4 linked regions of the Lytechinus pictus genome follow. The protein of the gene in region 2 purifies or fractionates together with the protein of the main gene of each other region. This does not show direct contact. Links are inferred from orthologs where the notes say so. Each region holds a gene or a part of one and is shown on either strand. Other genes may lie near its edges. The genes, in order: pre-mRNA-processing factor 19-like, replication protein A 14 kDa subunit-like, E3 ubiquitin-protein ligase RFWD3-like and DNA topoisomerase 3-alpha-like.

Region 1 (7,157 bases), on a different chromosome or scaffold from region 2:
TGGTAGAAAGGAATATGTTAGGTAGTCAATTGTAATATTTGTATATTTCAATAAATTTTGCCTACTTATCAGGATTAATGTTGTTGTTACTGTCATCATTATTCTATTATCATTATTACTATTACTATTATTATTATCATTATTATCATTATTATTATTTTCATCATTATCATTACCTTTATTTTCATGATCATAATCACGATCCTTGTCATTTCTATGAATTTCCTTTTACATCTTTTCAGTCATTTGTTTCACGATTGACCTGCCATTTGATTACCAATATTAAAGTCAAGCAGTGTCTTAGTAGTTCTCAAAAATTGTAATAAGCTTACCACAAATACTGGACACGTCAGGGTTTGGTAGAACCGATACAAAGCATGGTGTGAACAACCCCAAGAACTGCCACAGAAACTTTAACCTGAACATTTTCTGAAAAAAAAAAAATATTGAATTTCAAATTACTCTGATTCCATGAAGATATAGATCCCAGTGATCATCATTATTTTATGATTTTTATCATGTATTCTACCCTTTTAAGCGCATTCTTCCTGGTCAAAGGTCAATATATATCAATCCTGTAGTTTATCCTAGTTTATAAAAGCCACAGGTATGATTCTCATCATAACAGTAATCAGTATTTAATTCTGATTTCCATGAGAAGATACAAATACAATTCATATAAATAAAGAAACAGAAAAGGAAAGCAAAATTAAATATCAAGTTTACATTAAACAAACACAAAGAAAAGGCCAAAAGAAAACTTGTTGAATCAGACATGCCCAACTAATTGATGACATGTTAAATTATGGTTAATATGAAATGATAGGCTAGTTGTGGCAATTAAGAGAATCGGACAAATACATGCTAGTGGTAAATTAGAAGGAATACTATAAGAAAACTGAAAATAATCAATGAATGAAGTAGTCTAATTAAATACAAAAAATATATCACAACAAATTGACACACATTGGTACAGACAATATATAACTTCTTCTTACTAAGTTCTACTAAATTAGAGGATTATGTATTATGCACACTGCATCATTGGTGTAAACGTTTGTTCTTTTATGTGCACAGGGACCGTGTTCATTGTTAGCTGCCATAGCACCTGAAGCTTCATAGCCCAGAGCAACAAATAGACAAGGTTCTTATAATTAAGAATAGAAATGGTCAAACAAGTGAATTGCAACAATCAACTCCCTGGTAAAAAAAAAACAACAACAAAGAACAAGCAAAGTTTAAAAAAAAACATGAAAAAGGACACCTCTACTCAATGAAAAATGCTATAATACTAATACAGGGCCAATGCCATACTTTTGTCTTGACATGGTCAGTGATAATAGGTAGTCACACTCACAGACACAAAAGTTAACTCTTTCTTTCATTGGCTTGCTTTCTACTAATACAATAGTTCTTTCTGCAATTCTGTTCAAAATCACATACCGAATTCCTTTCCTCAAAAGCTGCTGTGATGTGAGAGTCAAGTCCAAATAAGAGTCCAAGAAATTAGCCTCGTCCTCGACAATGTCAATGATGCAAAGCCAAATGTTGTCTTATTCATTCCTGCCTGGCAGCTCAGATGTGTGCAAGGCAGCGACCCCACAACGACTCAGTCTCAGGCAGGCCAGTACCGCGACAGAATTGCAGAAGAATAAGCTGAACAGCTGATATTATCGTGATCAGAGATCATTTGCATACAATACATGCTCCCTTATCCTTATCCTTATCCTGTAGTGGTATACTGATTAGTTCGGGCCACCTCGCCTCCGGCTACATCCACCGCGCGCGGCGTCCGGAGTGTTTGGAAGATGGGGAATTCCCTCGTACTTTCTCTGAAGCGTGACGTCACGGTCTGTCGGGAAAAGGGGGGGGGGGGTGCTCTTAGTTCGTACGTGTGTGGGATGTGCGGTGCGATTATTTTTTTCCTCTCCATTTTCTGTGTCATATTTCTTTACTTCTTTCAGTGAATTGGAAAAATGAATTGATCAATAGAATCGATTTATAAATTTATGAAGTGCCTATAGTATAGGCCTATGTTTTATCGATTTGATTTTGTATTAGCCTTATGAAGTATGATGTAGGCCTATTACTTATGAAGTTATGAAATCTATGCAGTCAGTTTGTTTGTATTGACTTGAAAAAACAATAAAAAATACTTTAAAGAATAAGTGAAATACTGCCCCTGCATGAAATTTCAGTAAAGCTTCATCTTGTGCCCTCAGTGAACTCATCGATTGAAAAATCTTTGGTCTAATAATCTACTGTATGTGTGGTTTTTTTTTTACTATACATTTATGATAATATGCACAGGTTCGTTCAATGTTTAAAATGAAGACGTTTTACAGAAGATTATTGGCGATAGGCAGCCAATGTGATAACAATGTTTAATGAAATAATATTATAAGGGACAGAACTTGGTTATTTCCCACCCATTTTCCGCATTGATGTATCAAACTAAACCGAACTTCTTTGAAATGTACTTTTCTTTTTTAATCTTAAATACTATCCGTCAAGTGATTTTGGTATATTCATTTTTTACTCACCCAAGCATGAATTAGCTAGGTTATTGAACGAGGAGACTTGAGCTTTGTCTCCTGCATTTTTCACTGAATTATCAATATATCTCGCTTACATACTTTTTTGCTGCTGTTTTTTGTGGGAAACTTTGTATGACTACACCTTCACTGGTAATGCTACATATCAACTAGTCCGAAATAGTGATAATTTCCTGTAATATATTCTAACGTCCATTTTGGTCTAATGTCCGAATTTTATCAAACATCAAATTACTCTGTCAATATTTATTTAGTGTCTTAAAATGTAAGTGGGTATCGGGCGTTTTTCAGCCACAATACATTCATGAGTTTGGCTAATGTACATGCAATTTTCAGGTATAGGCCTATGCATGGCTCGTAATTATGATAGGCCTTATTTTCCTATATTATGCCAAAGTACAAATTGAATACTTATTTTCTCTGCTCAAAATTTGTTGCTTTCTTCCGAATTGCTCTAGACAACAGCACTTGTAATAATCATTCTTTCATTATATATCTACTCCAGCCCCACCCCGGGCAAAAATAAATAAATGAATAAATAAATAAATGAGGAAAAAATGAACCTAAAAACATGCAGAAAACAGACAAACTCGATAGAGCCAAATGTCATCTGTCATTTTTGGCAATTTTTTAGTTTTTTTTACAAGTATATATTTCAATATTAAATAAAAACACAAATGTAGCTTGGCAATATCCCCAAAGTTAAAAACGTGACACTTTCTTAATTGTGAAATGTGAATGATATCGTACGAAAAAGAGGAAGCTGTTGTTCTCACAAAAAAATCAAACTGGTTCACCATGCATGTAACGGGCAAGTAAGAAACCGAAATTTAACTTATCCAACGTGTGTAATGAAGCATTTTTTCTCTATTCCTTAAAAAGCTGTGTGCGCTATGAATGCCTAGCTTAGCCGGGTAATGAGCGCCTTCAGCACCTAACAAGGTGATGATGTGCGCAATATAAATACCATATATTATTATTATTATTCTTCACTTCTTCATGCATGCTTCTATTTATTTCTTTTTGTTTTCTTCATCTACTAATGTTGTTGTTATTGATATTTTTCCCTCTCTATAATGAACCGAACGATTTTATTGTTTTTACTTTTTTCCCTCCAATTATCTCTTCTTTTCTGTCTCCTCTTCTCCTTAACTGATTTCTCCATCTTTCTTTCCCTTTTCCCTCTTTTTTATTGCCGCCGCTAATGGGGGGGGGGGGGGGGGGGGGGGCTATTTTGCCCTTGGACCCGTCTATGATTCCTTTATATAGCTACTTCTTTTTCTTTTCATCGTGAAATTCTTATTCTGCAGTGTGCCCCCTTTCATCAGTCCCGTGATCATGTGCCCAAGTGTCTTGTTTTAATTTTAATTTTTTAATTGTTAATTTTAATAATTAATTAATTTTTCAAATAAAAGTTTCTTTTTTCTAGTTTGTTCTAAGTTTTTTTCCTTTCTAGAGGGGCAGCGGACCGAGGGGAGGGGCAGGAGGAAACATAGGGGAAAATGAAACAAGGACAGGAATCGTTATTTATTCACTCCTTCACTCGGATAAATAGCAATGACATTTTCTTTTGATTGTGGTTTTCTCTTTTTTTTTCTATATTTATTATATAGAGTAGACCGCCATCTCGCAATGACATTTAGATAGTGGCTAGGCGCTCACGCTTTGCAACATGGCGTTAGTTTGTTCAAGTAAGCAAGTATTTCATTCAATTATTTCACCGTCATCATGCCAATTCCGTAGATTTTTTCGAGGATTCTTTTGGATTGATTTATTAGATTTGTATGATAATAATGATGTTATACGGTTTGCTTTGAATGGGAAATTGTAGGGAATGCGATGTTTCGGATTCTTGTGGCGTAGTTTTGATTTCGGTCCCATCAATGCTTTTCAGCGTATGGTCGTGTTGATGTTTAGGCGCCAATGCAGTTTCGCACCGGCCGACTTCGTCTTCGAGATAATTTCCCCACCAGTAATTGTTCGAAAATATCATAGCAGCCAGGTCTCTCAATCACATTTCAACTTCAAGATCAATACATCCAGCGCTTTTCCGGTTGGGCGCTAGTGTAGTTTCGCACCTCCCCATTTAATGGTTTTCAAACATGTACAAAACTACAATCTCACCCTAAATTATAAATAATTCACAACCTAAAAATTTGCATCTGAGCCTCCAAAGTCCAGTAGAAGTTGAATATTTGCCGTTTTGACACTTTTTTACAAAGTTTTACACCTATTTCGGAATCACTCGGTCGCTTGATCAAGCTCAGCGCTGCACATAAGCAGTCGGTACGCGTACAGTACGTACCACCTAGTGAAGTGTGTGTGTGTATTTGAGTTTTGTCAGACGTGTATCAATCAGATATGATTATTTACGTCTGGGACCGACCTTTAACGTCACCATCCGAAAGACGTGACCAGGGCTCGAACCTCTGCATCAAATTGTAACTTCCCCGCATAGCTTGGATTACAGGCGCACGCCACAACTTCTTCTTCTTCTTCTTATGTTTGTTTGAGTGGCGATTAGTCATATTTGACTATTGTCGCCATTGACATTATTAATAAAAAATCTCACTTCTCACATAATAATATTATTACCAATATGATGTATACATATATAAAATATTTTTTTTGTATCCTTCTGATATGAAAGAGGATAATTATGATATGTACAAAAGTTTGCAGTAACTCTTGTCAAAATGGCATATAAACAAAACTTCACCAAAAACAAACCGCTATCTTCAGCTCAGTTCCAACTAGTTGCGCTTGCCCTGCCCTTTCAAAGATGCAATCATACCGGTCAGCACGGTACATTGTGCCGATTTTTCGGACATAAATGCCTAGGTCACCCATGCATAGACGAGGGGGCGCTAGTGTACCTGTGCTTACAGATGGGTTAAACATTAAAATCATTTTTTTTTTTTTTTTTTTTTTTAAACAACACCAACAACAACAAGGCGAAAACACTTGTGGGCTTTGTTAGTTATATGTGCAGAACATATCATTTTGTATATATTATATCATACATTATTATGTATATATATATATATATTCTTCTTTTCACATTAGACTTGTACAAGCATATCCATTCATATTTCTTATAGACAATACAATATTAAAATAGTACATCACTCCTTACTAAAACGTTTCGTTCTTGAAACGAAACGTAAAAATGCTTTCTGTATCCCTGGGTCATCTTTTTTTAAATACTCCATTATTTGTCCTGGCTGTGATTCATTCAATTCTACAAGGAGCATTGATCTTTCAATTATATATTTTGGACAATGTAAAAGATAATGTCTGACAGTTTCTAGCTCAGGACATCTATCACAAAACCCTGTTGGATGGATCCCTAATCTTAGTAGATCTTGGTTAAGACCAGCGACTCCAAAACGGAGACGATGGAGTACAGTTTCCTGTCTTCCTAGATTACATTTATATGTGGATAGCACTGATGGTTGCAATTCTTTCAGTGCTGAGTTAGTTTTATTCCATCTTTCTTGCCAAATTATCTTACAACTTTTTGAAATAAGTTGCATAATTTCTGATAATGTTATTTGATTATGAATTTCTATTTTGTTTGATAAAGCTTTTTTTGCGCAGGAGTCTGCTATTTCATTTCCTTTTATTCCACAGTGACCAGGGATCCACTCCAGGTATACCTCTATACCTTTATATTTGAGTCTTGTACTAATAGTTAGAATTTCTGTAATGATAGGATCGTCTTTCCGATTCTGTAAAGATAAAAGTGCACTTAATGAATCACTGAAAATAACAACACCTGTATATATATCTAAATATTCTATCCATTCCAGTGCGAGAACAATCGCAATTAATTCAGCCCTATAGGAGGACGTGAAATTCGATAGTCTTTTGCCTTGGTAACAGGAAAAATAAGGTACATAAAAAGCAGCTGAGCAACGCCCAGTTGTGCAAGAAGAGCGAGTTTTTCTATGGTATCTTCAAAAAGATTTTTTCCCCTCTTTCAGCTTGCACCAAGTATTACGGTAGTGGTTGTGCAGAGTGGTTGATGTTTGTTGTGTGAAGGTATGTGTGTGGGGTGTGCGTGTGTGTGATTTTTTGAATGAAATGTGAAAAATGTGAATACACGTAGATTTAGCGATGAAATAAGAAATAATAATGTAGAGCCTTGTTTTGAACTCTAGGTCAGCTCAGAGAACTTTCCTTCAGTTTACACTCTGCACAACCACTACCGTAATACTTGGTGCAAGCTGAAAGAGGGGGAAAAAATCTTTTTGAAGATACCATAGAAAAACTCGCTTTGGATTGATGGATTACTGTACAAACTCACTCAATGTGGTATAGGAGGAAATATGTTACATTTTTTAGAAAATTATCTAACAGAACGTACCTTTCAGGTAAGAGTTACAAATACTGAATCCAGAACATTCCAAGTCCATAGCGGACTCCCCCAGGGGAGTGTTCTGAGTCCCCTTTTATATAATGTCATGATGAGAGATATTCCAATTGATCCTGAAGTGACAATATCCATATATGCTGATGATTGTGCAGTATGGTTTTCTGGAAAAAATGTAGAGAATATTAGATTAAGGATACAAACTTATCTAGATGTATTATGTACCT
Region 2 (7,703 bases):
TGGGTCCGACATAAACAGTAATAAAAACCATTGTTGGGCCAGTAACTTTTCCAGAAATGGTCAAATTCACTCGTCCAACATGAACATAAAAAATATTCCATGACTCAAATTGCAAACCATTTTCCTCCCGTTAAATTTGGTCATTCACACACAGAATACACACAGAATGAATCGCATGCAATTTTTACTAGGGTAACATACAGTGTACATATGGCTAGCCAGCCACACAGCCCACATGGTGAATTTTCTACTGGCTGCACGAACGAAGCTTGGCAAAGCTTGGCAAACCTCTGGCAGAAATCTCTCACAGAACGGTCAAAATTCACATTTCACACTAATGAAAAGCTCTTATAATGTCCATATTTCCTAAAAATTGGGGTAACTGTCATTTGTAAGCAGTAAAAGGAGAAATTTTCACTTCTGTTTTAGTTCAAAGAGATCGGGTTTCGAGTGATATCGTCTGAATACATGATAGCCCCACATATGCATTTGTGTGTGTTGATACACTTGGTTTCTTTCGTAGCTATATCTTAATTGAGCCAAAAAGAAACTGATAATTTATTTATGATAGTTTTAGCTTTCTTCCTCTGTTTTCTTTCTATCTTTCTTTCCTTCTTTCTTTTCAATCTTTCTTTGTTTCTTCCCTCTCTTCTTTAATTTTTTTTGTTACTGTCTTTCTTTTTTAATTATTCTTTGTCTTTCGTTCTTTCATTCTTTCTGTCCTTTTAACATTTTTCTCTATTTCTTTTTCTCTTTCTTTTTTGATTTCTTTCTTTCTTTAATTCTTGAGTCCATCCATCCTATATTTATCTCTTCTTTCTTTCTTCCTTTCCTTCTTTTTATTCTTTCTTTCCTTCATTCTTTGTTTCTTTCTTCATTCCATCCATCCTTTCTTTACCATTTCTTGTTTTTTATTTCTTCCTTCTTTCAGCCCTTTCTCTCTTTCTTTCATTCATTCCTTCCTTTCTGTTCTTTCTTTTTTCCCTTCATTCCATCTATCCTTTTACCTTTTTTTTTTTTTTACTGCTTGCTTCCTTTCCTTTCTTCCTTCGTTCTTTTATTCCCTCATTCCTTCCTTTCTTTGTCTTTCGGTCTTTCTTTTTTTTCTTACTTTCATCTATTTTACATTTTCTTTCTTTTTTCTATTGCTTGCTTGCTTCCTTCCTTCTTTCCTTCATTCTTTTTTCCTTCTATCTATCATTTTACCTTTCTTTATTTCTTCCTTCTTTCAATACTTTCTTTCTTTTTTCCTTCTTTCCATCTCTCCTTTTACCCTTTCTTTCTTTTTTTATTGCTTCTTTCCTTCTTTCTGTCTTTTGTTCTTTCTTTCTATATTGCTTGCTTCATTTCTTTCCTTCATTCCTTTATTTCTTCAGTTCTTTCTTTTTTTCCTTCCTCCACATTTATCCTTTCTTTACCCTTTTCTTTCTTTCTTTCTATCTTTTTTCCATCTTTCCTTATACCCTTTCTTTCTTATTTTATTGCTTCTTTCCTTTTTTCATTACTTTCTGTCTTTTGTTTTTTCTTTCTTTCCTTTTTTTTCTTTTGTTCTTTCTTTCTTTCTTTCTTTTTTCCTTCCTTCACATCTATCCTTTCTTTACCTTTTATTTGTTCTTCCTTCCTTTCTTTTATTATTTCTTCCTTTGTTTCTTTTTGTCTTGCTTTCTTTTTGTCTTTCATTCCTTCATTTTTTTTTTTTGGGGGGGGTAACAAGAAAGGACAGCAAAATAAATTCACGCCTTTTTTTAATGTTTTCTTTATTTTGGGGACCAGTAGATTTTAGGTTCGGACCAGTAAAAAATGGAAAAACTGGGTATCTACTGGTCCGACATGAATAGGTTGGACCAGTAGAAAAAAAGTGTTAGTGTGGAGCCCTGCATTTCTAAAACATTTTAGTTTGTTAACAATTGTTAACATATATTCAACCCCCCCAAAAAAAATATCATTAAGATTTTTGTTAGATCATAGATTGGATTTTTTTGTTTGCTTGAAGTTTGAACTTTTTTCCTCTTTCTTTCATTTTTCTTTCTTGCCTATCCTTCTTTCTTCATCCTTCTATCCTTCCTGCTTGCCCTTTTTTGTTCCATCTTTCTTTCTTTCCTGTTCTTTCTCTCCTTCCATCATTTTCTCTTTTTTTTTTAATTCTCTGCTCCCTTCATTCTTTCTTCCATTTTCATCCTTTCTTTCATTCTACATCATCTTTATTTCTTTCTAATTCTTTTCCTTTAATTTATTCTTTCTTTCCCTTCCTGTTTTTCTTCTTTCTTTTAAAGAACGAAGGAAACATTTATCTTTCTTTCATTAATTCTTCATCCTTTTTTCTTACTTTTTTTCCTTTCTCCTTTATTTCTTCTTTAACACATTCATTCATCTTCCCTTCCTTTCTTCCTTTATCTATTTATTTCAAAGATTCAATGACAGAAACCCTTTTATTTTATTCTTTCTTTCATCCTTCTTTAATTTTAATTTTCTTTTTGACTTTTTTCCTTTATCTTCCCCTCCATTTTTTATTGTTTTCCTCTCAATTCATCCCTTTCCTCTTTCTCCTTCAATTTGTTCACCCTACCTCCCTTCCTTTTCTTTATAAATTTTAGTATACATTGTGTAGCCTTCTTTGTTGTTATAAATGTTTAATTAAGACATGGCTCGTTCAATCCGCTCGTGCATCATAATTTGTCGATTGTCCCGTTATCTATTTCATTTTGTGTAATCTGGTCACCCTGGCCCTGTTATTGTTAATCTTTAGTCCCGAGCATTAATTTCTGTGTAATATCTACAAGTTCATTACAAAAGTACGTTAAAACAAGTGACATAACTTACATTTTTCAATTGGCCCAGAAGACAAACGATGCTCCCTTGGTGCCTTGGAAGCATGGATCCATTAACTCTTGGTTTAGGTTGGTTGAAAGCATCCATTTTGGTAAGAAAAATTGTTTCTTCACGTAAGCCAAGGTCGGTTTTGCTTCTTTTTGTTAATCGCAATTCGATGTGGATGAATTACGCGCGCAAACTCACTTCCGGCCGCCGCCGAAGTTCGCTAAATGGGCCGAGACCGCAAGAAGGGAGGGGGGGGGGGGGGGGGTGCATATATGTATGTTCTTTTCTTTCTTTCTTTTCAACTTCATATATTTCTGTCCTACTTAAACCAAGGAAATGCATAAACAAATAGTACCATGTCATCTTGCCTCCGTTCTAGGTTGACTTTTCTTGTTGTCAGAAAAAGATGTTCTGTGCCATGATCGAATAGCACGACTGAAACCACAGGGTTATATTATAGGCCTAAGCTTAAATTGTTAATAACTATGTTTTATCGAGAATTACATGTATTCAAACCCAGGCTGAATTTAATATAAATGGAATGGGGGGGGGGGTAAAAATTAAGGCTATGATATACTAAATGGTCTGTATTGATTTAGCCCCTATTTATGCCATTATATAAAGTTAATCTAATATTGGGTCTAATAGATCAAGTTGTAAGTACACTTTCTCTTTTACACCTAGAAAGGACGAGAAATGAATCATCAAACCAAAAGGAGGAAAATGCGCCTATTTAAAAAAAAATGGGGGGGGGGGGGTCAAAGCAAAGGCCAATATTCCTTCAAGCGGACTCCCTGTCACACAAGAACTAAAACTTAAATAAAGTATTTTTAGCCAGGCCTTAGGAAACCTGGAGATTGAAAAGTTGTGGCATGTCCAATACATCTATCTGAATTAATTTGAATGCATCAATTCTAGATTTTTTTGAATGGCCCTGCATATCATTTCAAAACTTATGTAAACCTTTGTGGACCCTTCAATTTCCTGCTTTAATAGGCCAAATAATAAGTATAATCATGGATTTATTATTCAGATAGTAGCTCCATGGTATTAGGTAGAAAAACCTTCAATATATCTTTTTCATTCTACAAAATACAATATTTTGTTCATTCCCAGATTTAGAAGCAAAATGTTTATTGACGCAAGTCAATTTAATAGTCATTCAACCTTGAAACTCATCCGATTTTCCACTAACATTTTTTTTTTAGAATTTCAAAGAATTTCAGAGAATTTGAAGCAAGAGTGCTCACCAAAAAGTTGCTTTTGCCTGCATTATGGGGTATTAGGACTAATTGACCCTCGTTCCCATCTAATAGTGATTCAAATGTTTGTAGGTGATATAAGACGAGAGATCTCTAAATGTTTTCAAACGTGAAAGCAAACCCAGGATACTATCTTGGCCAAGTATTACAGACCCTGGCAGATTGTTTTTATTTTTAATTTAAATTTCATTATAATTTCAGATGGGGAAAATCAAAGAATATTAGTTTTGTTTTGCCTTTCACTAGCTAGAATCAAACAAACTGTGATGAAAATTGACACATTTTCATAGCTGAAATTTTATCATAAATACACTATAGCCAAAAGTTCACTAAAATGAGTTTTGTCTGATAATAAAAACAAAAAGAGACAATACAGCACGTTTGTTATTCCAAAATTGTACATTTATTTGAAGTACAATAAGGTAGACTTCTATTTATAATCTAATTTGGATCAAAGCAAATGCATCAATTAAACTTTTACCAGAAGACACTACAAAATAAAGACAAAATAAGGCAATAGAATAAAGAAGACTGCTATGCAGGAGTGTCAGATACTAGTTATTCCAACTACCATCTGCAAAGAGGAGACTCATTGTCAACAACCGTTTCAGGACTGCTTCATATATAAAGTGTTGACTAAAAGTAATATCACATCAGATTCTACAAGCTATTTTAATAACTCCTCGGGAATTTTATAAGCCCCACTGCATATATGTATGTTTGATAACAAATAGTTGTTAATCCGAAGACTAGTACACTTAAATGGTAATACTGTGTAAAGGGATAATTCAAATCCAGTAGTAATAGATATAAGGATAATATTGAAAAATAGTGTATCAAATCTTATACACACATACAATGATTGCTTAGAGTTCACTTTCAGTTTGGACTGTGTATTTTGTTCAGATGGATAAACATTGTTAGGAATATAAAACAAATAATGCTGATATTAAGATAATAACAGAATACAAACATACTATAACCCATTGAATACAATCATGATAGTACTTGCATCGAGTCCAATGGGAATGTTTGCTATTGCATAATGTAACAGACTGGAACTTGCTAAGAAAATGTAACATTCAAGGGGGGGGGGGGCAGATCTGACTTTCACGTTGCTAACATATTTTTATTTTTGGAGTGCCTAATGTCAGGCATTCATTTTCATATCACATATGGGCAATTCTATAGGTTGGTGGACATGAGCTCAATGTGTCTTTGTACATATAGCCCATCTGAACCGTAACGTGAGTAACCACTTTATCTGCAGCCCTTGTAAAAACCATGTGTTCTTTATTTTTTTAATTATATACAAATTTGTCTCCCTAATATACTTCTTTGAAATGGATATAATCAACTGTCATAAAAGCCTTGCATGAGGACACTTTTCACTTATGTCCACTTTTCATTTTATGCATGTCCAAATCATGTAACATGAGTAACCGACACATTTCAAAGATTTGCCAGGAGCATAATGAAATTTCCCAAGTTTTGTTTTTATACAAAAGATAGACAGACTGCGTACTATGTTGTGATAAAGAGATGTTTAGTTCCTATCAATAATAATGGAGTTACAGCTCCCAGTATGAGTCAAGGTGTCTCCAAATGTAACGTGAGTAACCGTGGAATAGCCCATATGCCTACATGGACAGCAGATAGGACCATTCAGCTTACACACTTACTAAATATCTTTATGATTGGAGAATTTATAGACTGAAAAAAGTCTGAGTAGCTAAATATACTTCATACTTATCTGTATCATATGATCTACAGAATGAAATACAAACATTTAATCACTAATAAATGAAATTACTACTTAGAAGCATTTGACATAAGAAAACATGAACAAATATTTTCTTGCACATTAGAAAAAAGGACAGAGCCTATATCATAGTGTGACTATACTGAACATAGTACCTACCGGTATATGCCAAAAATATCTCAAGACCTTATGAAGGCAAAAACAAAAATAATAATGCATGTTCTGTTTATATGTAAAAATTGATCAGATTTCAACCAAGAAAATGTATGATTGTATCAAACACATTTTCTAACTATCATCATGATTTTTTTTTTAAACATTAAATGCATTTACCACAAAAGAGGTATCTTCCATCCACACACACACAAATCTTATGAAGTACAGAATAAACTTCACTATCAACTCATGATCACTTTTAGTGAAAAGAAGAGGTTTTCTAACTTTATTTCAGAGGATTAGGATCAGAGTATGGAGTTAACAGTCTCTGGAAAAGCCCAGCCACCATTTGATTCAGCAATGTGTGATCACTGCTTCAGCAGGCATGTCTGCTTCTCATTATTATGAATACCACTTAGGGATGATTGAAGAGTAGGAAAATCAGCCAAAATGAGCCCTTCAAAGGGAATTTTCGAATTTCTTTGCCCCAAAATATTTTGTAAGGGAACATATTTCTACTTCGGTTTGAAAGAAGCAACACTCTTTGTACTTTTAAACAAAGGAATGATTTCGAATCCTAAACCTTTTTTCATGCGACAAAAAAAAAATACAATAACACAGGTTTTTACTAAGCTTACATAGTTGACGGAATATGAACTTTTCCTTTCTAGACTTGTGATGAATTATCCAACCATCAGAACTACTCACAAACTGTATCAAGAATACAGTTTGCATAAAGTACTTGCTGCTATATTAGGCTGGCTTCTTACCAACCCTCAGGTTGTCAGAACATTTAGCATGTATGAAATATATGTTATTGAACCAGTACATTACAGCAAGTATGAAGGTATTGCTCCATCAGGTTGGGGCCCTGTTGCACAAAAAAGGTTTGAACACAAATAAAAAAAGATCAAGCACCAGTTCCTCATACATGCATTTAAATGGATGAAGACCAAGTTGTGTGTGATTTTTTAGAGTTGCATTTGACTAAATCTCTTTCTGCAACAGGCTAAAGACTTTTGATTGAATCTCTTTCTGCAACGGGCTAAAGACTTTCAATGTTGACAATCTTGGCAAGTGAAAAGAAAGTATGCATTTCAATCATATCATAAAGATATGATTTTAAAGGCAAAATTGAAAGTTGCCTAATATTCTTTACTCACAGCCTTAATTGTGATTATTAACTAATACTTATATTTTCACGTTCTTGAGCCGATGGTGGAAAGGTTACAGGCCCGGGGGGGGGGGGGGGGGGGGGGGGCACTCAGTATATAATGCATAGTGGGTATGTGCCGCGGAGGGGACCCCCATTTTTACACTCAAATTTCCGTTCCGAGGCATAGCATTTTTGTCTTATTGAGAAAAAGAACAAAGAAAGCCGCTCCAAAGCATAGCATTTTCTTCTTCTCGAGAAAAAAGAAGAAAACAAATCCGCTCCAGGGCTTCGCATATTTTCCGGTACGCCGTTCCGGTCGCAATTTTGGTGAAAAGCGGCCGCAGCTCGCTGTCCGACCATCGCCTCTGCGCTAGCGCGCCCGTCAGTCGTGCCGCCGGGCTAGCTGCATGCACGTTCCATAGGGATGCATACGCACTCGCACGCAGGCGACCCGTTCCAAGGACCCCCGTTTTCACAAACATTTGTAGTTCCGAAGCCCGTTCCGAGGACCCTCCTTTTTACAATTCGCCCGCTCCAAGGCCCCCGTTTT
Region 3 (6,895 bases), on a different chromosome or scaffold from region 2:
TAATATCAAGCATATATTTGACATTTATATATTTCTATGAAACAATGTTTGAAAATATAATAATAGAATACATTTGGCATGAATATTACTTTTTTTCTTCAAAGGAAATTTCACTTAAAATATACTTAAATCCCAACAGCATCCCAATCATGTGAAAGAGCTTAATACGCTCTTTCATTTGATACGAAATTCGTCATGGCAGTATTTATATTTTTGAAGATAGTAAAGTTTACGATGTTTGGCAAGCGAACAAATTTCACTGAATTCCATGTCAAAATCTGCAACATTGGATAAGCTTCATCAGATGAATGGGTTTTTTTTTTTTAGTTTCTCTTTTAAGCATTTCAAGGGCAACTCCACATCACCTACTGGCCAGCTCCGGTGTAATTCTTTCCCTGCTTTGCAAGGAGTGCCATTTTTGCGTCCCCCCCTTCTCTCTCTCTTTCTCTCTTAATTCACTCTCTCCGTATATTTTTTTTTCTTTCAATATTGAAAATGTTATGCAAACCTGATGGTGTTCATGATCCTGTGATATTTCTGTAGCATCTGAATCATATAGATCTTGATCACTTTCGATGAGGATGGTCGAACCATTATCATCTTCATCAGAATCACCGTGATCCATTGGTCATCAATCAATCATAACCTGTATTAAAGAGAAGATCAAATGTAAAATTAAACGGATGCACATGCACAAGAAACAAAGTCTTTGGTTCGTTCTGCACGACATTAAGATGGGGAATTCCCTTTGTCTTTCGAGCTCTGCAAAAAAACAATTATTTTGGGGGCTTCCTTTAACTTAGTCTTAGAAGTTAGGCTCTAGCACTCATTCAATGAACAAGGTTATGGCCATATGGGCTCTACTCTGTACTAGATCTACCCAATTAAATCTGCAACATTGGATAAGCTTTATAATTAAATTAAGTTTAAGACTGCATCACCACTGGCACTGTCATGACCAGTAGAGGCGCACGGCCAATATGGGAGACTCTCTCCAATAGGGGAGACAATCTCCCACATTGGAGACTTGCTTTGCAAAAGGACAAAAGAAACAACACCAACAAAAGCATGATTTTTTCCACCCAAAATTTTGTCTCACTGGGGTCAGAAGCCCATTTGTTTTGTGTGTGATTGACAACAAAAATCCTTATCAAAACAAAAGTAGACAGTGAATTTTTAAAGTAGACGGTGTCGGTGAAAAGGGGTAATTTTTCATGAAGAATCTGCTTATCACATTTTTATTTGCCGCCAAGGTAATCCTTTTGCAGCAAATGTAAACAAAGGAAATTGGACTCCAAAACACTCTAGGCGACACCCCAATACTTACCCGTGCTAATAAACTGGGACTCCACTCACGCGCGTTTGGGCCTCCCTAGCTTAGAACTAAGCACTAATATCACCTTAAAAACTAAATCTACAAGGTATGTATAATCTATTTACAACTTTAATAATGTTTAATCGGTACTCACCGGTTCTTTTGTTGCATTTTCAGACCATTTCTCACAATTCTTCGTAAATATTTGCGGCAAATTTTGTCGCCATAGACAGCTTAGCATCCATCTTTATTGATAAATGGAGCGCCCTTTACGATAGTTGTTAATGCCGCGGAGAAATCGTTAGGCATTTTGGCCTGTGTTCAAGGCGTTCTTTCTGTTTTATTTTTTATATTGAAGATTGTGCATTTGTTGAATAGCGCCGTCTACGTCAGGTATGAGATCGAGTGTATAAATACACTCTTCCAAAATAATTATGATTCCGACCTGGCGCTGTTTAACTTCAATCTCTTTCACCTAAATTAGCGATGAATGCTAGCATTATAAAATATATATTATTAACGTCTGACGAAAAGAATAACCAACCGATCAGCTGACGAGAACGCGAATCACGTGATCTTCATATCAGCTTCGATCGCGAGTCAGAAGAGAAGAGCAGCTGCCCAGAAAATCAGGAAAAAGCCGTGAAAATGTAAGTTCCCCTTCATTTCTTTCATTTTTTTTTTTTTGCTAACGATGCATTTACACTATAAAATTATAATTTAAATAAGAGAAAGGAATATAGCTTGTACTTGTGATATAATAATATAAATATCCTGTTCTCAGAGATTTCTAACCAAAAATACTACTGATGTCGCCTATGAGGTCCATACATGTAATGTTGGACCTCATTGGTACTAGGAGTGCTCCAAAACTGGAGACTGTCTCTAAAAATTGGATAGGCCTACCAAAATTCTTTACAAAAGTCTCTGATATTGGAGATAATCTGCCACATTACTCATTAGAGATAGTCTCCAATATTGGCCGTGCGCCTCTACTGATGACTGTGGTCCATACGATGGGCGTATGCCTCTGGAGTCTTGATACTCAGACTCCCACGGCTCCTTCTAGTTCTAAGACTAAGTTCTTGTTTAACTTAAACAAGGACAAAGACAAAGTATAACTTTTCGTTTCCAGGCCAGGCAGTGCTACTGCCGTACTGCTAGTTTTGAGCATTGCATTTGTCCCCTGTCCCTCTGCATGTTTGGTCTCTCTTACTAGTTGATTGTTCCACTGCACTCAGCTCCAATGGCTTAATTTTTTTTTTATTGAAGACTCTTCCAAACAGACGGCTGCCAGCTCTCGAACGTCTCCAGCTCCGCTCCGCGATGGGGCACCAGCGCCAGCATAGCGCTCGCTAAGCTAGCGCCACTGCCCCCGGCCCGGCCTGGGAGAGGAAGCCAAAGGCGAGGTCAGTGCCAGACGGGCCAGAGCCGAAGCAGGGCACTGGCAGAGACAGAGTGCCGAGACAAAGTCAAAATCAGACCATCATTCAAAATTAAGATTTCAAATTGGTTTTATGTTTCAACACCAGCTTCAAAATACTTCCGTATCAAAAACACACTGTGCCTAATTCACATATGTATTCACTTTTTAAGATAAAAAAATAGTAATAATCTAACTTACTGTAATCCTAAATTAACACGAAATGATGCAGAGAAGATGCGATTTCATAATCAGGCGCGCGCTCGATAATAGAGGGCGCGCGCAGTGCTTCCACTTTTCAAAACGAAACTCACAGTGGAATTTTATAATTTACTAAATATCCTGTAATTTTACAAATGGGCCCCAGTCTTCCATAAGATGTTATGTCAGTGGCAGCATCGAGATTTTAAACTAGGGGGGGACAAAGGCAGACATGATTTTTTTTTGTCTGTGATGTTCCCAAAATCGAGCGCGAAGCGCGAGTTAAAATTTCAAAATCATAGTCCCTACTGACTTGAAAAGGGACCTGACCGATTGAGATTATAGGTATCTCCCCAAATAAGTAATGCGAGCGTGAAGCGCGAGCTGAATATCGTGAGATGATAAATATATCGGGAAGGTCAGTCAGAGAGCATATAACATTCTAGACAAGGTCATTATGCTGATCATATATTCAGGAAGTGTCGATCAATATAACCAGTCACCGACAGGAAAAAGTGATCACTGCAGCCTCCTTGTTGATGTTTCATCTTCGAGATAGGCTGCAGAGCCCTTTGAAGATTAAAGCAGATGATGAAACTTTAATCACTTTTTTATATAGGAAGGGTACTATAGTTATTGATGCGAGGCGTAGCGCGAGAGTTTTTTTAAAAATATTTTTTTAATTTTTATCACTTTTTTGTAAGCAGGATGCGTATCTCACTAAAACAAATAATGAAAACTTGAATCACATGAAGAATAATTTGTGCATATTGCGCTTAAACACTGGCCTTTTTAGCCCCTTTGTTATCCAATTAAACAGATTTTATTAACCAATGCACCGCCACTGCGTGCACGAAGCGCCAGCTAAATTTTGAATGTTGTATGACTCGAAAGATTTGTGCTAACAGTGACTGCATGGATGAGAAAATTTGTAAAATTTTATGAGTGAAAATGTTGTATTGAGGTATGCCTACTTTAAAACAGCTTGAGTAGGATGCTTATTCAGCTTAATTCAGTTATATTTTTTTAAGTTTTCAAAAAATTTCAAAATTATTGCTGCCTCCACTGTGTTATGTTTCTCTTCCATACGCATAAAAAATATTATAAATATATGCAACTGCCAGTACAAGTCCTCAGCAACACGTAGGCCTACGTTACACAATCATGAATTACACAAGTCTTCAATAGGCCTACTGTGGGCGTCGTATTCTAGTGGTTACGACACTCGACTTATAAGGATGTGTGGCCTGACGAGTGGGTTCGAATCCCAGCCTGTGGCGTGTTTTCCTTTAGCAAGAAATTTACCCAGCACATTGTGCTGCACTCGACCCAGGTGAGGTGAATGGGTACCCGGTAGGATTTATTCCTAACTTGAATGCTTTAGCGCCTATATAGGCCCGTGGCGGCTCAGCTACTGTACAGCCGGGGTCATAATATACCAAGAATCAAGATCAGTATATGCAATTATAATAGCTGCGCTATATAAATGGACCATTATATTGTCTACTATAGCTGACTGCCCTATCAGCAACCCACATAAGAAGCCAATTTATAGTCGATCCTTAGCTTTATCTTTTTTAAGTAAAACATGCATAATACATTAATATTATATTACGATACGGATGATGATGATCATCATTATAGTGATAATAATAATAATTGTAGTAATGATGATTATCACGGTGATCTTAATCATATTTGGGTGTTTCCATAATTAAGGGACTCATCCATACCCGGGGGGGGGGGGCCACTTCCATTGACGAGTGGATACCATGCGCGACCATGGGGTCTCGAAAAGCACACTAAACACGTATTTTCCAAATTCTGAAAATGCACCCCTTAACAAGTATTGGCGTCTGAAACCCTACCCTTAACAAGTATTGGAAACAAAACGATACTCTTGGCAAGTATTCCCTGAAATGAATCCCTAAACAAGTATACAGCGATATTTGATTGTTATGTCACGAGTCCATCGGTCGTCGGTTTTACCTTTACAGTTTACACACCATTTGGTTTAGTACGGCCCCAGCTTCCACACCTCGCGCAAATCGGACTCTAAACACGTAGTGTTGGGGCAAAAAGGACATCCTTTATAAAACATTTTAATTTTGTTTTATCATTCCCCCAAATATGACCTTAAACACGTAGCTTTCCTAGCGAAATAGATACCCTTTTTTCATTATTTTTGTGTTTTTGACACCCTTATCACGTTACGTACGTAACGTACCCTATCTTGAAAAAGACATCCTTTTTACGTGTTTTTTTGGTCGCGCATGGTATCCACTCGTCAATGTAAGTGGCCCCCCCGGGCATCCATATGGGTATCGATCACGATCGAGGAGTGCATGGGGTTAGTACTCCCCTATAAGGCTTCAGGTGGGGGGTGGCATGTGTTCTCATCCCCCCATAAAAAAAAAATTGCGGTCGAACATAATTATGCATAATATATTGCTGTACAAAAAAAAACCATTTAGGGGTGGTTTTTTTCAGTTTTAGACGTGGGCCATGCGTGCACTCGTTACGGGTATCAAAAACACCGATTTTTTTTAAAGGTGGTTTTGAAAGACTTGTCAATAATCAATCGCGTCAAACGTATTTAAGGTATTTTCCAAAGCTACGTTTTTTTTTAGACTAGCCAAACGTGTTTAGGGTATGTTTTTCCCCAAGCTTTTTCCCCCGCTTTTCCCCGGGTCTTTTTCCTCCTCGTTTCTGAAAAGTGTTCGTGACGGTCTTCCCGGGACACGGGAAAACGGTCATGAAATTTGTCACCTCTCTGTCCACGCGGCAATTTGTTTTATAACTAGGGGCCAAAATAAAATCCCGCGAAAAACTTGATTAGGGGGTTAACTTGCACACAGAGAAAAAAAACTCGTTTAGGAGGTGTTTGGAAATAATTTGGTCACGCAGGTGTACAGCAATACATTTGACTGCCACCCCCCCCCCCCCGGGCGAACATCATAATGATTACTATGAATCATATTACAAGTATATATGATCGTGATACAAGGAATACAATACTGACGGAGCGTAATGGTAATATCGATCGTCGTATAATACGCATGATACGACCTTCATTTTGTTTTTTTTTCTCTCTAAAATTTCCTATGTAGGCCTATATTCAATTCAATTCTTTTATTTCATTTCCATTCAAAACATAATACAAAGTAATATAAAGTAATACAAATCAAGTACAATTTTACAGAAGGGCATTCTTACTTCGTAAAAAAACACAGAAAAAACAGTATAATATAGAGCATAAATGGAAATGAGGGGATCCACTAAAAAGCAAAGCTTGTAAAGTGTGGATTCCCCTTGGAAATGAAGAAAGTATAGTAGACTTATTCTTATATGCGTACATATATGTATTACAGGAAATAAAAAGAGAACAAAAGAAATCATACGGATGCAAATATGATTACTGAACAAATGCAAAGCTTTTCACACAATATTGTAATTGAATGAAACAATTCCTTTGAAATATAGTTTTAGAAACAGATAGGCCTCGAGGGGAAAATATCCAGGATGAAATAGAACTTAGCGGCCCGAATTCACAAAGGTGGTTTTGAAAACCCACGGTTGAGTCCATGGTTTATGTAGATTTCCTGTATAAATTACGCTTAATTTAGCGCGTATCTGGCGCGTGTATAAAAAATGTCCAATTCCGATGCGCGCTTTTGTCACAGTGCGCCAAATTGACGCCTGTTACCATGGTTAGATACGCTATTTTATTCATGAGTCCACTGTTTTTATTCATGAGTCCACTCTTCAAACAGTGGACTCATGAATAAAATAGCGTATCTAACCATGGTAACAGGCGTCAATTTGGCGCACTGTGACAAAAGCGCGCATCGGAATTGGACATTTTTTATACACGCGCCCGATACGCGCTAAATTGAGCGTAATTTATACAGGAAATCTACATAAACCATGGACTCAACCGTGGGTTTTCAAAACCA
Region 4 (7,768 bases), on a different chromosome or scaffold from region 2:
TAATCCAAGAACATTGTGAAAGAGAAATTAAAAATGTGTGCTTTTATTGTATGTATGTATTGACAGATTTATGAAAAATACCATGAAAATTGATTTCATCTGAATAGAAATATCCACAAAAGATGAAAAATTCAATTCATGAAGTTAATTTCATCAATTAACTCTGGCTGGTCATTAAAAGAATTTTCCTCATAAGCAGATTTTTAAATGTCGAAACAATTTTTTTTTTCACTTCTCAATGTTTTCTGTTTAGCCATCTGATGGTAACTATATGTTCCATGGTAACAATGCTCAAAAGACAATCAGTGAATTAAGGATTCCATGAAATTTACCCTTAATGATGAAGTTACCATTATGGTATAATTACCATTAGAATAACATTTACATGTATGCAACTAATTTAGGCCAAATACCTTTGATAAAGTACATTTTGCTATTGGCAATTCATAAATATTTGGCTTAGATTGAAATCATTGAAACTTATCAGGAAATAAAAAAATCTAATCCATTTGATTCATCAATTGTTGTAAAAGTAAAAAAAAAAAAAGAAGATTTTGTAAACTTACCCTATTGTATCTGCCCCTAGACATGACATCAGCAATTGACTTGGCAGCATCATTCTTCTCAGCTACATTCAGAACCTTGGTTGCATGTCCCCGTGCCATAGTGAGGTAGGTGCACAAAGATATCCTCAAGCAATTCGTCCAAATTAACATTGGATGGGAAATCCTTAAATGTCCAGGTATAACCCAAATAATTCTGCCAACTACAATGTACCCCAGCTCACGCGGACTGTTCGGTGGTGGAATTTATCATTTCATTTGTCTTCTATGCATTCCAATGCAATTTGTAGAAGTAAAATACTGGAAATGTATTGCCTTCACAGATCACTGTACCACGAATCCTGACAAATTAAAAGCGATACAGGTTCCATAACAGACTAAGTTGCTTGCGGATGCACAAGATTTGTTGACGGAAGGACTTTGATCTTGCCATATAACTGAGGACAAGTTCTAAGAAGATGCAGAGGGGCAAATAAGTCTCCTATACTTTATGCCCAACATCAAGGTAAATCAAGGTAAATACTTTGGAGAAATAGAAATCCATTGCATATTCCATACAAACATGTCCAGACATCAGAATTCCTGCACATATCGTAAGAGGAAAAGGACATTGGGTAAAAGGAACACCATGGACATTCTTCAGAACTTCCAGGTCAAGAAGTGTCATCTATATGGAGAGCTTCATGTATTCTCAATAACCAACTATGAAACCAAGTTAATAGTTGATAAGTTTAAAAAAAAAAAAAATGTTGGTAATAAATTCAATACAAATGGCAATCAATTCCTACGAAGGACACGTTATTCTTTTCCCTATCTTTTCTGGATTTTCAACCAGTGGTAAGTATACTTGCTCATGTAGATCTAATACCCGAGCATGCTAAAAGATAAGAAAATAATTATGCATGAATGAGATAAGTTGTATTCTGAAAATATTCTCATCTTTTATCTTTTCTTATCTCCCAAGGTATTTACAAATAGCTAGAGTGTTATCACCATACATCTCATCATGGCCGTGCTCTTTCTTGATCTTTCCCGACATCAAAAATAGTAACTAGCAGCTCATCAACCTTGTTACAGGCCCACTGTGAATGAGAGGGCCGAACAAAAAGGATATGGGATACCTAGATCATTGGGGTGTGGAAAAGTCCTACTATAACAATATTACATCAACGGCCACTGGCACTGAAGGTCTAGTAGGAACAACAAGAGTAACGCTAAGGCCAGCACATAATATGCCCGCCTGCAACGCGGAAAATTGAGTTATTGGTCAAGCAAGAAAAGTGGAAGGTGGCGACCTCACCTTTGACCTTCTGACCTCAAACTCAATAGAATTCCTGGGATCTATGCTAGCTAGTATCATACACATTCAAATTATATGAGCCTAGGTTAAGTTAAACTAAAGTTATCACATTTACAAGGACTTCAGAAGGGTAAGATGAAAGTATGTCACTGTGATCTTGACCTTTTGACCTCAAAATCAATAGGCTTCCTTGGATCCATGACCATGCTAGCATCATACACACCAAATTATATGAGCCTAACTTAAGTTATTGCACTTACAAGGAAAAGTTAATGGACGGACTTGATTTCGCCGCCTGATGTAGAACCGGGGTCCTAAAGCAACGCACTCGATTTATCATGCAAAAAATTAGTATTTCCTGTGGGGGTGCTTCAATTTCTAAAATATGTTCACATTATTATAGGATCTGAGGATATATGATTATGAAATAAAGCGAATATAACTCCGAAATTCCAAACAGTTGTTGGTTTTCTCTGCATTTAACTTGTTAGAGATTTATTGCAGCCTCTGGGCACTGGCTCTGTTGAAAAAAAATGAATACACCTGACCTGTAGTCTGTACTTGTAGTTGTAGGAATTGTTCGTCACTCTCTGACTCTGTCTCTGGCTCTGCACTGCAGCACTGCAGTCACAGTTCCACAGTGACCACACACAGACTCATTTGCCATTGAAAACTGCATGCGCGATGAGTGTGGCGTTGCTTTAGGACACCCTACCATAGTCCATACGTATTCTCGAGTGAATTAAGGGTTTGCACAGCAGACTACACTAGCCCCGGGGAAGTCGCCACTTTGTGTACGGGCTGCCGAGCCGGAGTACGGCCCACGCCTAGCTCGCCCGGCTACGGACGTTCGACGCGTAGGTACCGGTACACCGGCGCCGGCCGCCGCAGATAGTAACGCGCGATGCGATGGTCGGATTCAATTCAACTTAGCTGCCTACGAGACGTCTTGACGTGACTTAGGTAGACTAATCCTCTTTAAATACCATTGTAATAACATCTTGAATAACTGATAAATTGATGGCAAAAGTGTTAAAACCCAATCAAACATTACCGGTATCTCCGTATGAGACCGAGCGAGAGCTGCAGTGTAGTCTTCGGTACCGTAGTCTTCACCATTTGATTAAGCCGCCATTTACTATTTCATGATTACTCAAAATAATACCTCTAATCTGAAATTATTGATGTTTTTGATAAATAAAGTAGATTTAAAAAATAGATAATAATACAAAAACTGTATTATATATATTGAACACTTTTGATTAACTTATTTTACATATTAATCATTATTAGTGTAAATTATAATTTACACTACCGGTAATATACTGAAGGTTGTTTTGTGCCAATTTGCAACACCCTGTGGCTATATATTTTTAAAGATTTAAAAATATATATAATTATTGCTTATTATTATCATCTTCATTATTATTATTATTATTGTTGTTGTTCTTTCTATTATTATAATTATTATGTTTGTTATTATTACTAATTGTGGTGGGGGTGGCGGCCGAGATGCGATTATTTTTTCCGTATAGGCCTACATGGAAACGCTAGGGGTGCTATGGTACATGAATTATTCATAAGTTAAGCTAAAAAACTGAAGTGCGCAGGAGCTATAGTTCTGTAACTTCATCAATTTGTACATGAACGAATGTAATATTTTACTATGATACCTAAATTTTTATAGAAATTATGAGTTTAACCAAAAGTGAAGTCAGATATAGTACAATGGAATAGCCCAAATAAAAAAAAGGACTAAAATAATGGAATATAACCCAAATAAAAAAGGCCTAAAATAATGATTTAAATAATGGAATAACCTAAATAAAAAAGTACCAAAATGATTTAAATAATGGAATAACCCAACTAAAATGGAATAGCCCAGATAACAAAAACAAATAGTAAAGAAAATAGATCAACCCAAATAAAATGGAATGATTTATATAATGAAAAACCCCAACTAAAATGGAATAGCCCAGATAACAAAAATAAATAATAAAAAGAAAATTGAATAACCCAAATAAAATGGAATAACCAAAATAAGAAAGGACTAGAATAATGGAATAACCCAAATAAAAAAGGACTAAAATAATGATTTAAATAATGGAATAACCCAACTAAAATGGAATAGCCCAGAAAACAAAAATAAATAGTAAAAAGAAAATGGAATAACCCAAATAAAATGGAATAACCCAAGTAAAAACGACGTAAATAATGATTAAATAATGGAATAACCCAACTAAAATGGAATAGCCCAGATAACAAAAATGAATAGTAAAAAGACAAGTACAAATCAATAGTAAGAAGAAATTGGTATAACCCAAGTAAATGAAATAACCCAAATAAAAAAGGACTAAAATAATGATTTAAATAATGGAATAACCCAACTAAAATGGAATAGCCCTGAAAACAAAAAAAAATAGTAAAAAGAAAATGGAATAACCCAAATAAAATGGAATAACCCAAGTAAAAACGACGTAAATAATGATTTAAAATAATGGAATAACCCAACTAAAATGGAATAGCCCCGATAACAAAAATAAATAGTAAAAGGAAAATGGAATAACCCAAATAAAATGGAATAACCCAAATAAAAGGGACTAAAATAATGATCTAAATAATGGAAAAACCCAACTAAAAAGGAATAGCCCGTATAACAAAAATAAAAAGTAAAAGAAATGAAATGACCCAAGTAAAATGGAATAACCAAAATAAACAAGTGGAATGCCTCTGGCCGTCTCACCTGCATCACGCGATTCAATATAGCAGCAGTGCTGATTTTGAAAACTACTATAACTCGCACAAGATGTTCAGTGATACTTGGTTACTCTTATTTCCACGTTTTATGAACTAGACCAATACACTTATAGAGATATATATGATGGCAATTCAACAAATACCCCCAACGTGGCCAAAGTTATTTGACCTTACATGACCTTTGACCTTGATCATGTGACCTGAAACTCGCACAGGATGTTCAGTGATACTTGATTACTATTATGTCCATGGGCGGAAATCCCAGGGGGGACAGGGGGGACGTGTCCCCCCTACTCAAAATATTAGGGGGGACACAATATCAAATGTCCCCCCTACTATTTTTTGGTCTTTTATCATGGTAAGAAATACATTATTCTAAATAAAAATAAAACATGTATTTTGGGAAGAGATGACCTTACTTTGGCGATGATAACCTTTTTTTTGCTTGTCAAATTGTCCCGCCCCTTGTCCCCATAGGCGGATCTAGGGGGCCGAGGGGCCCGCCCCCCCCCCCCCCCCCTCTTGGCGGAGCAAAAAAAAAGGGAAAGAAAGAAGGAAAAAAGGAGGGAAAAGAGAGGAGAAAAAGAAAAGAAGGACTACGAGTGCATAACATAAGATGAGGGGAAGACTTGGAAAACAAAAATAATCTTTCGTGCCACTATATAAAATTTTCGCTCGCGCTTCGCGCTCGCATTGCCTGTTAGGTGATTTACATATCTTGTTCAATATGGAGTTCGAATATCAAGTTTGGAAGTCAACATACAAAACATATTTCACCTCGGAAATCGAACTTTCATTAATTTGTGTAATTTACAAATTGGTTTTTAAAAAGTGCTCTGTAAAAATGTCAGTTTTATGGTCAGAATGTTAACATTTGCTGCTTGCGCTGCGCGCTCGCAAATTTTGATTTATCAGGTACCTATTATTTTCGTGTATTCCATAAAGTTGTCAAAATATCCCTTTTCAGGTCTGATTGTCAAGACGTATCAGCTAGCGCGCTGTACGCTCGCATTTTGATTGGCGAGTTATATAAATGTTTCAATATTGATTATACAACAAACTGCTTAAAATCCCCCTTTCATGACAGTTTATCAAAAATTTTAGCTCGCGATTTGCGCTCGCATTAATGGTTAAAAATATATTAACTGATGCATCCTATTCATAATAAAAAAAAGTGAAATGTCCAGTTTTTATGCCATGATATCATCAGATTTCGCGCCTTCATTAGGCATTAATAAATATGATATTAATTTAATAATTAAATTGTCCCTTTTCTTTCATCTCGCGCTTAGCAAGAGGAATAGGAAGATAGTCATCATTTTCATATGATGACATGTCGTAAGGATGTCCCGGTCCTATGTCAAAACTCAAAGTAATAATAATATCAGCTCTTTTTTTAGTGCGATCCATATCTACCTTACAATTTTTCTACAAAGTGCTTCAAATATAAAGCTGAAATTGACTCTTTTTCAGATCGGAATATCAAAGTTTCATGATTTTCATGATTAAAGTTGTATTTAGAATGCCTAGATTCTAGGTCTAAATATGAAACACGCTCGCGCAAGTTTATTCAGATACTCAACTTGTTCTCTAATTTAAATCATTATCCAGTTTCAGATCACAATATCAATTTTTTTCTGCTCGCGCTTTGTACTCGCATTATTAATGTAGAAAGACTCCATATTACTCATACTTTTGATGATTTACAAAACATGAACAGAGTGGCCCATTTTTAGGTCTAAATCTCGAAGAAAATTCTGCTCGCGCTTCGCACTCGCATCAATCGTTAAATTATATAGTTATCCTGTTCACGATTACAAAAACTGATTAAAATTTTCCATTCTTTCTTTAGAAAGTTCAAAAAAATTTCAGCTCGCGTTTCGCGCTCGCATTTTTTTATTGTTGGAATATGTAACGCCTTCATGGCTAAGTGCAAGCAGTCCTTCACAGGTACCTTTTCAACAGGTACCAGTTCAAAACGTATATAAAAATTTTCTGCTCGCGCTTTGCACTCGCATTATTAATACTCATCCTTTTCAGGATTTACAAAACTATTATAGGACTAAATGTCAAACTTTTCCGCTTGCGCTTCGTGCTCGCATTAATTGTTTACTTATATACCTATTCTGCTTGAATTACAAAAAGTGCTTAGAATTTCCATTCTTTAGGTGAAAATGTCAAAAAAAATTCAGCTTGCGCTTCGCGCTCGCATTATTTGATTGACAAATGCTACTTTAACAGGTATCTTTTCCATCAGTTCATTCTGCTCGCGCGTTGCGTTCGTAGTAATTATTTAGTTGCATACACATCTTTTTCAGGATAACAAACATTGCCCAGAATCAGTTCAAATTTTAGGAAAAAATACATAAAATTTCCAAAAAAAATAGCTCGCGCTTCGCGCTCGCATCATATAAATAAGGATTATGATATTATATATTAATTTATAAGAATAAAGCTAAGAAGTGACTCATGAGGACTACCCCTTCAAAGAAACAAACAAAAATCATCTTCGTGCTGCCGATCGGGGAAAATATGGCTGAAACAAATTCCCCCCCCCCCCTCTATTGGCGCAGGCTGGATCCGCCCCTATGTCCCCCCTACCTTTTGGGAGAGATTTCCGCCCCTGATTATGTCCAAGTTTTATGAACTAGACCAACACACTTTCAAATTTATGGCTGTAATTCAACAAATACCCCAATTTGGCCAAAGTTCATTGACCCTAAATGACCTTTGACCTTGATCATGTGACCTGAAACTTGCACAGGATGTTCAGTAATACTTGATTACTATTATGTTCAAGTTTCATGAATCATATCCATAAACTTTCAAAGTTATGATGGTAATTCAACAGATACCCCCAATTCGGCCAAAGTTCATTGACCCTAAATGACCTTTGACCTTGGTCATGTGATGTGAAACTCATGCAGGATGTTCAGTGATACTTGATTAACCTTATGTATAAGTTTCATGAACTAGGTCCATATATTTTCTAAGTTATGATGACATTTCAAAAACTTAACCTTAGGTTAAGATTTTGATGTTGATTCCCCCAACATGGTCTAAGTTCATTGACCCTAAATGACCTTTGACCTTGGTCATGTGACATGAAACTCAGGCAGGGTGTTCAGTAATACTTGATTAACCTTAT

What was found.
Region 1: the proteins of replication protein A 14 kDa subunit-like (region 2) and pre-mRNA-processing factor 19-like purify together in Homo sapiens (affinity purification with western blotting; 3 studies listed by BioGRID, with this or other methods). This does not show direct contact. The link is inferred for Lytechinus pictus from reciprocal best matches to the Homo sapiens genes RPA3 and PRPF19.
Region 3: the proteins of replication protein A 14 kDa subunit-like (region 2) and E3 ubiquitin-protein ligase RFWD3-like purify together in Homo sapiens (affinity purification with mass spectrometry; 5 studies listed by BioGRID and IntAct, with this or other methods). This does not show direct contact. The link is inferred for Lytechinus pictus from reciprocal best matches to the Homo sapiens genes RPA3 and RFWD3.
Region 4: the proteins of replication protein A 14 kDa subunit-like (region 2) and DNA topoisomerase 3-alpha-like purify together in Homo sapiens (affinity purification with mass spectrometry; 3 studies listed by BioGRID and IntAct, with this or other methods). This does not show direct contact. The link is inferred for Lytechinus pictus from reciprocal best matches to the Homo sapiens genes RPA3 and TOP3A.

What each region holds. Positions count from the first base shown.
Region 1 is NC_087246.1:31,300,821-31,307,977, forward strand, and holds the start of pre-mRNA-processing factor 19-like, read left to right. Parts: upstream 1-4,152; 5' UTR 4,153-4,227; coding exon 4,228-4,246; intron 4,247-7,157. Other genes in the region: uncharacterized protein CG3556-like, read right to left, coding at 333-426. UniProt on the Homo sapiens protein: Ubiquitin-protein ligase which is a core component of several complexes mainly involved pre-mRNA splicing and DNA repair. Required for pre-mRNA splicing as component of the spliceosome.
Region 2 is NC_087257.1:26,796,156-26,803,858, forward strand, and holds the start of replication protein A 14 kDa subunit-like, read right to left. Parts: upstream 3,021-7,703; 5' UTR 2,917-3,020; coding exon 2,821-2,916; intron 1-2,820. UniProt on the Homo sapiens protein: As part of the heterotrimeric replication protein A complex (RPA/RP-A), binds and stabilizes single-stranded DNA intermediates that form during DNA replication or upon DNA stress.
Region 3 is NC_087250.1:13,548,755-13,555,649, forward strand, and holds the start of E3 ubiquitin-protein ligase RFWD3-like, read right to left. Parts: upstream 3,026-6,895; 5' UTR 2,940-3,025; intron 647-2,939; 5' UTR 626-646; coding exon 509-625; intron 1-508. UniProt on the Homo sapiens protein: E3 ubiquitin-protein ligase required for the repair of DNA interstrand cross-links (ICL) in response to DNA damage. Plays a key role in RPA-mediated DNA damage signaling and repair.
Region 4 is NC_087254.1:17,256,274-17,264,041, reverse strand, and holds the start of DNA topoisomerase 3-alpha-like, read right to left. Parts: upstream 3,015-7,768; 5' UTR 2,918-3,014; intron 1,146-2,917; 5' UTR 717-1,145; coding exon 567-716; intron 1-566. UniProt on the Homo sapiens protein: Releases the supercoiling and torsional tension of DNA introduced during the DNA replication and transcription by transiently cleaving and rejoining one strand of the DNA duplex.